4 linked regions of the Saccharomyces cerevisiae S288C genome follow. Changing the gene in region 1 together with any one later gene gives a genetic interaction. Each region holds a gene or a part of one and is shown in the gene's direction. Other genes may lie near its edges.

Region 1 (2,759 bases):
GATTGAAAGTAGGGCCACCAATGCTCTTTTCAATCTATTTTTTGAAAACATGAGAGTCCTAAAAGAGCTAACTTAAATGACCGGGGCAGATTAATTGAAAAGTTTGAGGTTTTTGTGATAATCTTCAAAGTTGAACGCATGTATAAAATGATAGAAGCAACAGTCCATTGAGAAGTATGCCACTATAGTCATATATATATATATATATATATATATATATATTTACGTATTAATTGATAAACTATAATACCAACGGCACTTGATACTTGAATTCATCTTACATTTCCAGTGATGATTTTTTTTTCTGGGACTACGCTGATAAAGAAAAATTGCAAGAACTGAGAAACCACTTGTTTTGTATGGCACTTTGACTTTCGAATAACACATAATGTTCGTTATCAACTGTTTAAAGTCGATAAATGTATAATCACTGCTTTGACATAAGTATATAACATTCCGAGCAGAAATAAATTCTCTTAACGCGTTCTTGTAACTCCATAGAGGCTCTTTGGAACTTTTCGTTTGACGCTCACACCTTTTATTTCGTTAAAGTACCGTTTTGCCAGATCCTTGCCAAAAACCAAAAATATTTTTCTATAAAATAATCCACAGGCATTACACAATGTCACCTCTCCATCAGGACCCTCTCTCCATTGCGGAGAAGTTTTTATCACCGCACACTGTGGACATCTCCTGGTGACGCCTTTCCTCTTTTGGACATTGTGCTGAACAACAGCAGTATTATTCGTTGTGACATACAAAGATGCACTAATGGGTTTAGCAGTATTGATTTTTGTTTGAGAGTGAGGTTTTTCGCAGTCTATTGTCTCCTCTACCGGATTCAATAACGATTCAACGGAGATTCTTTTATATTCTGGATGACACAAAGTCTTAATGTTCATAGCAAATTCTTCCTTCTGGCTTTATATTTGCTTCTAGTTGATAATTGTTTACATTTAATGAAATTGTTTCAAATCAAGAAAAGGTAAGATAAGCTCCCTCAAAGAACCTCTCGTCTTATAATATACTCTTCAAACAGAGCAACAAATATTAATTAACATGCTCGACCATTTGTTCTTTTCCATCAAATTGGACCCTAGACCCTTAAAAACATAGATATGACTGAAGAGGAGGTTTTTGACCTCTAGCCTATTATTCCATTTTACAGAGAAGCCTACTTATTTTCTGTGGCAGGCGGCTAAGCAGGTAATGTTGTCCGCATTTTATCAGAAATACTTGCCAAGAAAAAAAAGGGATTTTCATATAAGGGGATTTTCTACAGGTGTTTGTGTGAGTATGTATTGCACCAAATAAGTACTGTGTTAAAGGTTTTGTTGATGCGTTTTCATCGGGGTTAATAGCGTCTAATCCTTCAAGGGAGCTGTAAGTGATACTTTCATTATGCAAACTAAAGAAAGCTGAAGTCCTGGTACGCCACCTGGCACTTCATCTGGCTTCTTTTATTTTTTTATACACAGAAAATAACTTACTTACACTTTTTTTGGAAATAAAACCATTGTCTCGGGGAACATATACATATATATATATATATATATATGTATATAATACCAACTGCAATAAAAGAAAAGAGTCATATTATAAGTATAATTTTGAATGTTCTGTGCATTTTTCACTGTCGAATAGCTTGCTTGTCATGCCAAATAATGGGTTAAATCGCTGTGTGCTGACAATGTATCAAATAATACTTCCCCTAATTGAATGTGTGGCGCTATCCGTATATCCGGACCCTTTTTCAGGGCCGGTCTTGGCATGAAAAAATGTCAGAAGCATGAGTAGAATTAAGTCGAGAACAAACTAATATGAAGGGGATGTTTAATGTAAAAACGTATAAAAAGGCCATGTTCGAGGTGGATAATAGAACAACATTCTATGAAGACGGCAGCTTCAAGACAGAAAATATTCATAGAGATTAAGAGAAAAAGTCTCGAACATATTCAAATGAAGACTGTCTATTACAAAGAAATCACCTACCAGCAGTATCTTCAACTGCAACCTGAACAACAGGAAAAATACCTGGCTTTATGTCAAAAAGATTTTGAACAAGAGACTGAAAGAATTGCATTTGATCGTCAAGGAGGTGTGCCTGGTATTGCTAGGAAATTTGCACAAGAAGAAGTTGCTTGGTTCGATCGCGTTACAACATGGTCATATATGAATGCTTATATTCCGAGCTACAGAAGAAGAAGAAACCTTTTAAAGATTGATATGTTAAAGATGTCTAATGCTGAAGAATACTGAGAATAATTTCGAGCGCCGATCCAAATATTAGGTTTGCTTTATCTTTTTTTATGAAATAAGTTCATGAAATATGAATACTATACCACTACGCATATATATATTTTAAGAAAATTTTCGAATGAAACTTGATGAAATTAGTCCATTAAAAGTGTATGGGTAATCGAAGAGCCCAAACTACCGTTAGTATAATACTTTGTACTTTGTACTCAATACTTAATACTAATTAAAGTCTGGATTACAGTGTCCTATGATAATTGTGTTAGCTTTTCATCTTTTATTGCGACTACAGTTAAATTTTATGGTTTATTTATTCCTCGTTGTTTCGATGCACGATGCGAGTAATTGCAGGATCTCTTCATTGTGCACGCTGAGTTGTGGTACAATGTCCTCGGGTAACGGTATCGTACCTACCGGTATTTTCACCGCCACTCCACCTATAACATTCATCTTCAAACCATGTAGTACCTCTTGAAGTTGGTCATTACACTTACTACCGCCAT
Region 2 (3,643 bases), on another chromosome or scaffold:
AAAAACCGATTCTCTAATGGACGATGGGGAAGAAGGTGAGCGTGATGGCGTAAATAATACAAACATTTGTAATTTATAGAAACCTATTAAGTATTCAGTTAGATTCCTTCAGCTGCATGACGTATAGTTTATATGGACATCATACGTATTTTTATCAATATAGAGACTAGCATGTTTTTACACTTTTTATTTTTGTTGTTCAATTAGGGGCCTCGTCCATATATGTATATATATTACATAATCTGCAATCATCAATTAGGGGAGGAATAATCGGCAGAGGTATAAATACAAAATTTAAAACAATTCAAGTGAATGAAAAGGTGAACCAACAAACAGAATATTACCACGTATCAAGGAAAAACTAATAATAGTATATTGGCGCATTTAGCAGGATGTTCTGGAAAAAGGATCCCACCGTCAGTTGGGAAAGAAAAAATATCAATGACATTGATTTTAGTCGTTTTAATGTGGCCATAATTGGTGGCACAGGTGGACTTGGACGTGCAATAAGTAGAGAGCTGGCCCAAAGAAATGCCAGGGTTACTGTTGTCGGGCAAACTTTTAGGGACGAGGACCTAAAAGATAAAATTAACTTTGTCAAGGCTGATTTAAGTTTAGTGTCAGAATGCAAGCGTATATCTCATAGTGATGAAATTCCCTACGAGGAGTTAACACATCTGATTTTCACTACGGGTATTTTTGCATCACGCCAGAGACAAGCTACAAGTGAGGGTTTGGAAAAAGACATGGCAGTGAGCTATTTGAGTAGATACATTATCTTCCATGATGTGGCGAAGCGATTAGGAATTAGTAGGACAAAAAAAGACGATTTGCCAAAAGTTTTCATAGCAGGGTTTCCAGGAAATGGTCAGGTGGGAGACCCAGATGACTTGAATTCTGATGAAAAGAAGTATAGTGCCTACGCTACACATATGAACACTGTGGCAGCCAATGAAAGTCTGGTCATAGACGCTAAAGACAGATACACGAATATAGATACTTTCGGTTTGAACCCTGGGCTGATCAAAACGAACATTCGTAATAATCTTCTTGGCAGTGACACCTACCTCAGCCGCATTACAGAATGGATAATCAGCTGGACCTGTCAAAGCGCAGAGACGTATGCGAAAACAATATGCACCCTGATTGCGAGCCCCGCTATCGAATCACGCAGTGGTACAATGTTCAGCAACAAAGGCGATGCTATTTTACCTTCGCCTGGTTTGACCAAAGATGTTGTTGAGAAGTTTATGGAAAATTCGGAACTTCTAGTTGAAAAGGCCTTGCGTAATCAAAGTCCTTTCACTTCCAGTAACGAATGACTTGCTGTAACTAATTGGTTTATATTTAAATATTTCACTTTTTAAAGGGCGTTTGCATGCGACCATCGTCGATGATTCATATTGTTCGGATGCGGAAGATGGCTTCCATGAGTTTTGCACGCCGTCTCATGTGATTGTTGGAGTCATAGCTCGCATATCTTCCTATTGTCAGATGTAATATCGACGGAAATGGCATCTTGGAGTATGGAAGCACTATTCTGCTTTGCTCCAATATTTAGGATGCCGCATTTTTCATATTTTTTTTTACATTTTTCGCTTACGTATATAAATTGCTAGCAAGTATTCGCTCTCTCTGTCTTGGTTATCTAATTGCTAACCGTCGCAATTGAAAAGAAAAAAAAAATACAGAATAGACGATAGCGGATTGAACGATAGCATACTATTGAGTGCGTTTTCCCTTCTCATTTGAAAATTACTATCCGTTTTTCACTGCCGAAAGACTTGATGTTGAGGACGAGGCTTACTAATTGCAGTCTATGGAGGCCCTACTACACGTCATCGCTTAGTAGAGTACCAAGAGCACCTCCAGATAAAGTCTTGGGGTTATCTGAACACTTCAAAAAGGTAAAAAATGTTAACAAAATTGACCTGACCGTAGGAATATATAAAGATGGTTGGGGCAAAGTGACGACGTTTCCCTCCGTTGCAAAAGCTCAAAAATTGATTGAATCTCATTTAGAGTTGAATAAGAATCTTTCATATTTACCAATAACAGGTTCCAAAGAATTTCAGGAAAACGTTATGAAATTTTTGTTCAAGGAATCATGTCCGCAGTTTGGGCCATTTTATTTAGCCCATGATAGAATCAGCTTTGTTCAGACTTTGAGTGGTACAGGCGCCCTAGCTGTAGCAGCTAAATTCTTGGCATTATTTATTTCAAGAGATATTTGGATACCTGACCCATCATGGGCAAATCATAAGAACATTTTTCAGAACAATGGTTTTGAAAATATTTACCGGTATTCCTATTATAAGGACGGTCAGATAGACATCGACGGATGGATTGAGCAATTGAAAACCTTTGCATATAACAACCAGCAAGAAAACAATAAGAACCCACCTTGCATAATCTTGCATGCGTGTTGTCACAACCCTACAGGTCTCGACCCAACTAAAGAGCAATGGGAAAAGATTATAGATACTATATATGAGCTAAAAATGGTACCCATTGTTGATATGGCTTATCAGGGTTTAGAGTCTGGTAACTTACTAAAGGACGCATATTTATTGAGGCTATGTCTCAATGTAAATAAATATCCAAATTGGAGTAACGGTATCTTTCTTTGTCAATCTTTTGCCAAGAACATGGGCCTTTATGGTGAACGAGTTGGTTCCTTAAGCGTTATCACGCCGGCAACTGCGAACAATGGAAAGTTCAACCCTCTACAACAGAAAAACTCATTGCAGCAAAATATTGACTCCCAATTAAAAAAGATTGTCAGAGGTATGTATTCTTCTCCACCAGGATACGGTTCTCGTGTGGTAAATGTAGTATTATCAGATTTCAAATTGAAACAGCAATGGTTCAAGGATGTTGATTTCATGGTTCAGAGATTGCATCACGTCAGACAGGAGATGTTTGACCGTCTAGGGTGGCCGGATCTTGTAAATTTCGCACAACAGCACGGTATGTTTTACTATACAAGGTTTAGTCCAAAGCAAGTCGAAATATTGAGAAACAATTACTTCGTCTATTTAACAGGTGATGGTAGATTGTCGCTTAGCGGAGTCAATGATTCGAACGTTGATTACTTATGTGAATCTCTTGAAGCAGTCTCGAAAATGGACAAACTCGCATAATTTTTTCACCTTACAGTTCACCTTTGTCTTTATTTTTTTATTACTTTTCCCTTCTCATTTTGCCACACAATAATTTATAGAATATAATAATTTTTTGTAATAATTAATAAACCTTTTTTTTATCTACTCTATATACACTTTTCAGATAACTAGATTGGATTAATTCGTGATCGAACTAGTTATTAAATTTTAAATGAAAAGAAAGCTAGCGCTAGCCAACTATTTTAATTACGGTGGCAGTGCATCATATCCTTACATTTCATTTTAGGTTTCCTATGTTTTCTTCTTTCAAATCATTTCCTGCCAAAAATTTTTTTCAGTTTCCTACCGAATTTACTGTGACCGTGACGGTCATGCGACTTATCTTTTATAGCTGCATCATCGTTATGAAGCTTGTGTATCTCTCCATTTTTATCAATGATAGTCACCGGAACGCTTAATGGTAAGGCTGTAGGCAGGTCAGGATTTGATGACTCCAAAGTGGCTGTTCCACCAGATAT
Region 3 (3,026 bases), on another chromosome or scaffold:
CTTCTGCGGTTACTCCTAAACTAGTCGTAGTTAATGAAAAGGCAGAAACAGCGAAGACAGAGGAAATATCTCAGGAAAAAGAGAACGCAGAGCCTACCGACTCTGCGGAAGCCACGGAAGCTGAAGAAAAGAAGACATCCGACGATAACGAGTTCAAATTGAACGTTTTGAAGGAGCAAGAAGAACTAATAAAGAAGGAGGAAGAGGAAGCTAAGCAAAGAGCTTCGAGAGAGCATGTGCCAGATGATATCAACCTAGATGAAGAGGAAGAAGCAAAATCTGTACCTCCCATTCCGGCCGATCAAGCTGCGAAGACTTTTGTCATTAAGAAAGATTGATATTAGATCAAAGCCTAAGAAAAAAACTAAAAAAAACTAAAAAAAAAAAGTCAATCGGTTCTCTTTTCTCTGACAACAATGGCAAAAGATCAAAGAGAAGCGTACGTCACGGCAAAACCAGCGACCCTTCAAAACTAAATTATTATGCATGTATATAATAGACACCCTATCTAAACTACCGCCTTATTTTTTTTTTTATACAGGAGCAAAGTGTCTTTTTTGTGATGGCCACGAGGGTCCTTTCACTCATGACTCCTTAATCAGCATCTTATGAGCTGGATTTTCATATATCGGCGATTTTTTTCATCGGTAATGCACGCAGTAAAGCTGCTCGCTCGAGAAAAATTAGTAATATATGGAAGAAGAAGCATAAGCATAAAAGAGAAAATCCGCTGCCCCACCGTAGAAAGCAAACAAGGCTATTGGTTATTCCTCTTTTCACCTGTACTTCAATCTGTAGCACATCATCATAAGAGGCTTGAAAGTTGCTCAAGAACAGTTTCAACGGTTTTTTCTTTTGAAATTTGAAAATTGCTCTTCGTTTGTTGAGCCGTTATCAAGGAAGTAAATCATCAATTAAAGAATATAGAAAGGCACAAAATTTTGTCATTTACGCACACTTTCAATGGATCATGAGACAACGAAGGTCTGTAGTAGCAGTTAGCGTAAAGCCCAAAGGCTTCAAATTGGGGCATAAACAGGGTTCCATGTCTACGACGTCTCCACCTCCATCCTCACCAGATGGAAATGTGAGTACATCAGGACCGTCAGCTATTAAGTTATCCAAGAATTGGGAGTTACCACAGCGCCTAAAACCGGGCCGCAAACCGAAATCCAAGCGCGGGGATGCATCAGCTAATAATGATGGATCGTCCAAGATAAAGAAGGTTCAAACTTCCAACCAGAAAGACCAAATGACCACAAAAGATCATGAGAACGAAGGCGCAAAAGGTCATGAGGGGAAATCTGATGATGAAGGCAACGGAAGTGGTGATGAAAACGGTGTCGATAGCGTGGAAAAGCGAAGGAGGCAAAATAGAGATGCGCAAAGAGCATATAGGGAACGCAGAACAACAAGAATCCAGGTTCTGGAAGAGAAGGTTGAGATGCTACACAATTTGGTCGATGATTGGCAAAGGAAATATAAACTGCTGGAATCTGAGTTTTCCGATACAAAGGAAAACTTGCAAAAATCAATAGCATTAAACAACGAATTGCAAAAAGCCTTGCCTTTGATTGTTAATACTCCATTTCAACAGCAGCCAGAAAACCCGCCAGACAATCCTATTTCGATATTAGAAATGGTAGAAAACTTTAAACCAATCGGCGCTGTCAGTTTAAAAAAAGGAAAGCTGAAGGCCCATTGTTAACATCTCATGTGCCCGCGGTATTAACAGACCAGTCTTTGTCTGAGATTGATATAGCCAACGATTATCAATATCTGAGCGGCAGACAGTTTAGTTCAACGAATTCATCGCTTGATGGCCATATTAATTCACCTCTGTCTTCATGCAGCAGCAGTATCAATGCATGTGCAGGCAGTGGCAACAAAAAAATAAAATGTTGTAGGAATAAAGATGCCATGAAACCAGTAACATGTTGCAACCAAAAGAATAACATAATGCCATCCTTAGTCCCCGTTTGCTGTTCAGAAAAGAAAATAGAATCCGATGCTAAGAAATCAATATCGAAATGCTGTGGAGACAAAGAAATCTACGATAGCGAGAATAGACCGATCACTAAAGAGGATGGGTCATGGATACCTGGAAGCTGCAAGCAATGTAGATCAGACCCCCATAGTAGGAATTTTTGTCAATCACTTTCGAATAAATGTAGTTCAAGCTCTTTCTCTTCCAACAGTGCGTTGTCACCGGATCTAAATGAACAACAAACTGACGTAAATTACAATTCAATCAAGCTACCCGAAATATGTTCCTGCAAGAATGCACAAATGAATGCGGCTTCCGATGCAAAGAGGTATCTGCCGATCAGTTACACATATCAAAAAATCCGTCAACATATGCAAAAAAATAAAAGTATCCAAGAACAACTAAATCCTGAGGATTCAACTTCGATCTCATCAGCGTTAGAGAACATTGCATCTGGATTGCACGTTCGTGGACAGAAAGTAGAATTGCAAAGCATCAAGGATGCATTACATAAGATGGACAAAAACGTCTTGGAATGATGTATTTAGAAAGAAAAGAAAAGTGGAAGCATAAATAGTGCATATAGATATAGGTATATATATGAATTTTTTAATAATAATATTAATGATGTTTTTTTATCTTAAGAACATTAAAAGTAAGCGGCGCTAACGGAATAATTAGAAACAATGTGGTAAAGAACGGGGGTGAAAACTCATAAAACCAAGTTATAAAGTTCTGCCAAAGCACGGAATATCAAAGGAATCTCAATAATTCCGGCAGCACCCTTTGATTTCGAGGACGATTGGCTGGACGAAGTAGCAGATGCGGCAGATTTTAGCAAGCTCGTTTCGCTAGCAGAAGGGGAGGAGGAAGATGCCTTTGAAGTCGAGGATGATGATTCAGAAGATGAAGAAGCGGAAGATGAAGATGAAGAGGAAGAAGAGGATGAAGAGGAGGTGTCGTCGTCTTCTTCGTCGTCATCGTCCTTAGCATCACAACTTTGTTGGGTGGCGATTCCGGTTCCCATAGGAGAACCTGC
Region 4 (3,120 bases), on another chromosome or scaffold:
ACATACACATGGAATGGAATCATAGATGAAATCGATGAACAAGCACGTTATTTCTTAAACGAATATCCAATCGATGACGACTATACGAAAAAGCGGCCTCAAAAAAGAACCGAATTGACAGGTACATTTTTCTTTCACAGATCAGGTTGGCAAAAAAATACTAACCGTATCCTGTGTTACTGTCGTTAGAACAGGAATCAAGATGAGCACAGTGAAGTTATCTGATAGTCCCTAGACTCTCATTGACTTTTTGTAATATTAGGACACAGAATATACTAAGGGTTCTTCTCGAGAATAAATGAACACATAAGCAAATCAGAAATTCTACATACTATAAGAGTACCTCATACCTAATCATTTCTTAATCCATTCCGTTATCAGTAATTGCATTCGAGGTTCCATTAAACTGGTGCCGACATTTATATAGTTATATTGGTCCAATGATCTTATCATCCTCCACACCGTATACAACTATATCTTAGTAAACAACGGCTAGTAAGTGAAACGATGGTCCATTTTAGGCACGAAGAATAAAGTAAAATCTGTATCTGCGTTGCGCAAATCATCAATTGCATTTATGTTGGAACGAGAGTAATTAATAGTGACATGAGTTGCTATGGTAACAATCTAATGCTTACATCGTATATTAATGTACACCTCGTATACGTTTAAGTGTGATTGCACCTATTGCAGAAGGAATGTTAAACGAGAAGCTCAGACAATACTGAAGCTGTGTTAAAGACCTATTAGTTGAACATGTTATGGTAGGTACATATATGAGGAATATGAGTCGTCACATAAATGTATAGTAACTACCGGAATCACTATTATATTGGTCATGATTAATATGACCAATCGGCGTGTGTTTTATATACCTCTCTTATTTAGTATAAGAAGATCAGTAATTATTTCTTCATTAATACTATTTTTTACCTCTAATTATCAACAATTTACATAGCCCAAAGTCATGAGGAGAGCTTCTACTATAAACCTCACTCACAATTCTTTCTTTAGTCAGACGTAGAAACCTAAGATTTGTTAGTATATACGGTTTTCCGTACCAGTACAAGATCCATTGCTTGCGATATTGTTAAAATAGGGACCATCTTTCTTAAAAAGGTTCCATAAAACCGGAAGTTTTAGTGTACACTAACAACAGAAGAAAAAGGTCCTATAGTGTAGTGGTTATCACTTTCGGTTCTGATCCGAACAACCCCAGTTCGAATCCGGGTGGGACCTTCCCTTCATTTTTCGTATTTTACGAAATTTAAACCATCATTTTTTTTTTTTGAACCAATGCGAGAAAAAAATAAAAAGAGAAAGGTAAGAAAAAGAAACCAACCTCTATACAGATACAATCGCTCATCTCGATATACTTATTTTTACATACCAGAGATATCGAAGAAGTTACTCAATTATTTGACAAGTGCTCATCATTATGTCATTTGAAGTTTTGCGTGTGACAGACAAGTCCTAATAGGATATCCTTTAGATAAACCATTGGGGCCCCTTATATGAGGTTTATACACACACATATATATGTATACATATGGCTAAATTGCCTTCTGAGAGCCTGATAGTTTTTTTAGCACTTTATTCTTTCACTTGTATTTTTTTAGACATTTCACGTATTCGGCTAATGGTATGGCACTTTCTCACGTGCCTTTCAGACTATGTAATATAAACTGTTCTAACCTGCTCTACACCTGACTCACATGACAGCATTTCCTTTCAGAATCACATAACATTTTTTGGTTTTAATTATCATATGCATTTCAAGGGAGTCATACATAACCTTTCGGGAAAGGCCCCTTCGCTTCCTAATCTAGGGTAAAAGGCCATCACAGGCTCTTTTATATAGATTAAGAACTAAGGAAGTGTCACGCAAAATAGTCGAGACCTAGAGCCATCAAGAATAATAAAACATAATCCAATAATGTCTGCATCTACTACAAGTTTAGAGGAATATCAAAAAACTTTCCTTGAACTGGGATTAGAATGCAAAGCACTAAGATTTGGGTCATTCAAGCTGAATTCAGGCAGGCAGTCGCCATATTTTTTCAATCTTAGTTTGTTCAATTCTGGAAAGCTGTTGGCAAACCTTGCCACCGCGTATGCAACTGCTATCATTCAATCGGAGCTTAAATTCGATGTTATTTTCGGACCTGCTTACAAAGGGATCCCTTTGGCTGCTATTGTATGCGTTAAACTAGCAGAAATCGGGGGCACTAAATTTCAAGGTATTCAATATGCTTTTAATAGAAAGAAAGTTAAAGACCACGGCGAAGGTGGTATTATTGTTGGAGCATCGCTTGAAGACAAGAGGGTGTTGATTATCGACGATGTCATGACTGCAGGAACTGCAATCAATGAAGCATTTGAGATAATCAGTATTGCTCAAGGTAGGGTAGTGGGTTGTATTGTTGCTTTAGATAGGCAAGAAGTGATTCATGAATCTGATCCGGAAAGAACAAGTGCTACCCAATCTGTTTCAAAGAGATACAACGTTCCTGTGCTAAGTATTGTATCACTGACTCAAGTGGTACAATTTATGGGAAATAGACTATCACCAGAGCAAAAATCAGCGATTGAAAACTACCGTAAGGCCTATGGTATATGAACTATAGAACTGACATGGACCATTTGATTATCATTGTTTGTATAGGAAAGAATAAATTTTTCTTGTATTCTTTTTTAATCAGTATACGTAAATAGCTTTTTATTGTTGGAGTTACGTGAGTTCTCGCATAGTAATTCATCAACTATTAGTGTCTTTTAAGGTTTCTTACTTTTCTTTTTGTCATGCTTCACTTGAGAGGATTTCTACTACTTTCCATAATTTTTCACTAAAATATTTTTCTTCTACAAAATAAACAAAAAGGCCTTTCGTGTTTGAAGATTACTCAGATGCAAGAATCACACTCAAGTTTAGCCATAAAGGGTGAAAATATTGATGTGTCGGCGGTTTTTTCTCTCTAGACATTTAACAGTTGCATTATAAAACTGTGCTGATTTCGGGACGACGAAATATATTTGAGAACAAACATTACGTGGGGTTTTGATGAGTGATCTTGACGAAGAAAGTCAAATTGAAACTCAGATCGATGCTCCTATCGAAGA

Evidence for each region.
Region 2: mutations in YLR012C (region 1) and AAT1 together harm fitness more than expected from each alone (negative genetic interaction), as found in Saccharomyces cerevisiae (one large-scale study listed by BioGRID).
Region 3: mutations in YLR012C (region 1) and YOL029C together harm fitness more than expected from each alone (negative genetic interaction), as found in Saccharomyces cerevisiae (one large-scale study listed by BioGRID).
Region 4: mutations in YLR012C (region 1) and URA10 together harm fitness more than expected from each alone (negative genetic interaction), as found in Saccharomyces cerevisiae (one large-scale study listed by BioGRID).

The regions. Positions count from the first base shown.
Region 1 is NC_001144.5:169,482-172,240, reverse strand, and holds YLR012C (uncharacterized protein), read left to right. Parts: upstream 1-1,959; coding exon 1,960-2,259; downstream 2,260-2,759. Other genes in the region: GAT3 (Gat3p), read right to left, coding at 477-902; LOT6 (flavin-dependent quinone reductase), read right to left, coding at 2,563-2,759.
Region 2 is NC_001143.9:235,749-239,391, forward strand, and holds AAT1 (aspartate transaminase AAT1), read left to right. Parts: upstream 1-1,787; coding exon 1,788-3,143; downstream 3,144-3,643. Other genes in the region: SLD2 (Sld2p), read left to right, coding at 1-39; YKL107W (putative short-chain dehydrogenase/reductase), read left to right, coding at 393-1,322; YKL106C-A (uncharacterized protein), read right to left, coding at 1,399-1,518; SEG2 (Seg2p), read right to left, coding at 3,437-3,643. UniProt on the Saccharomyces cerevisiae protein: Plays a key role in amino acid metabolism. Important for metabolite exchange between mitochondria and cytosol.
Region 3 is NC_001147.6:269,315-272,340, reverse strand, and holds YOL029C (uncharacterized protein), read left to right. Parts: upstream 1-1,920; coding exon 1,921-2,526; downstream 2,527-3,026. Other genes in the region: ribosome-binding protein MDM38, read left to right, coding at 1-338; YAP7 (Yap7p), read left to right, coding at 971-1,708; GAS5 (1,3-beta-glucanosyltransferase), read right to left, coding at 2,700-3,026.
Region 4 is NC_001145.3:806,365-809,484, reverse strand, and holds URA10 (orotate phosphoribosyltransferase URA10), read left to right. Parts: upstream 1-1,936; coding exon 1,937-2,620; downstream 2,621-3,120. Other genes in the region: RRN9 (Rrn9p), read left to right, coding at 3,062-3,120. UniProt on the Saccharomyces cerevisiae protein: Catalyzes the transfer of a ribosyl phosphate group from 5-phosphoribose 1-diphosphate to orotate, leading to the formation of orotidine monophosphate (OMP).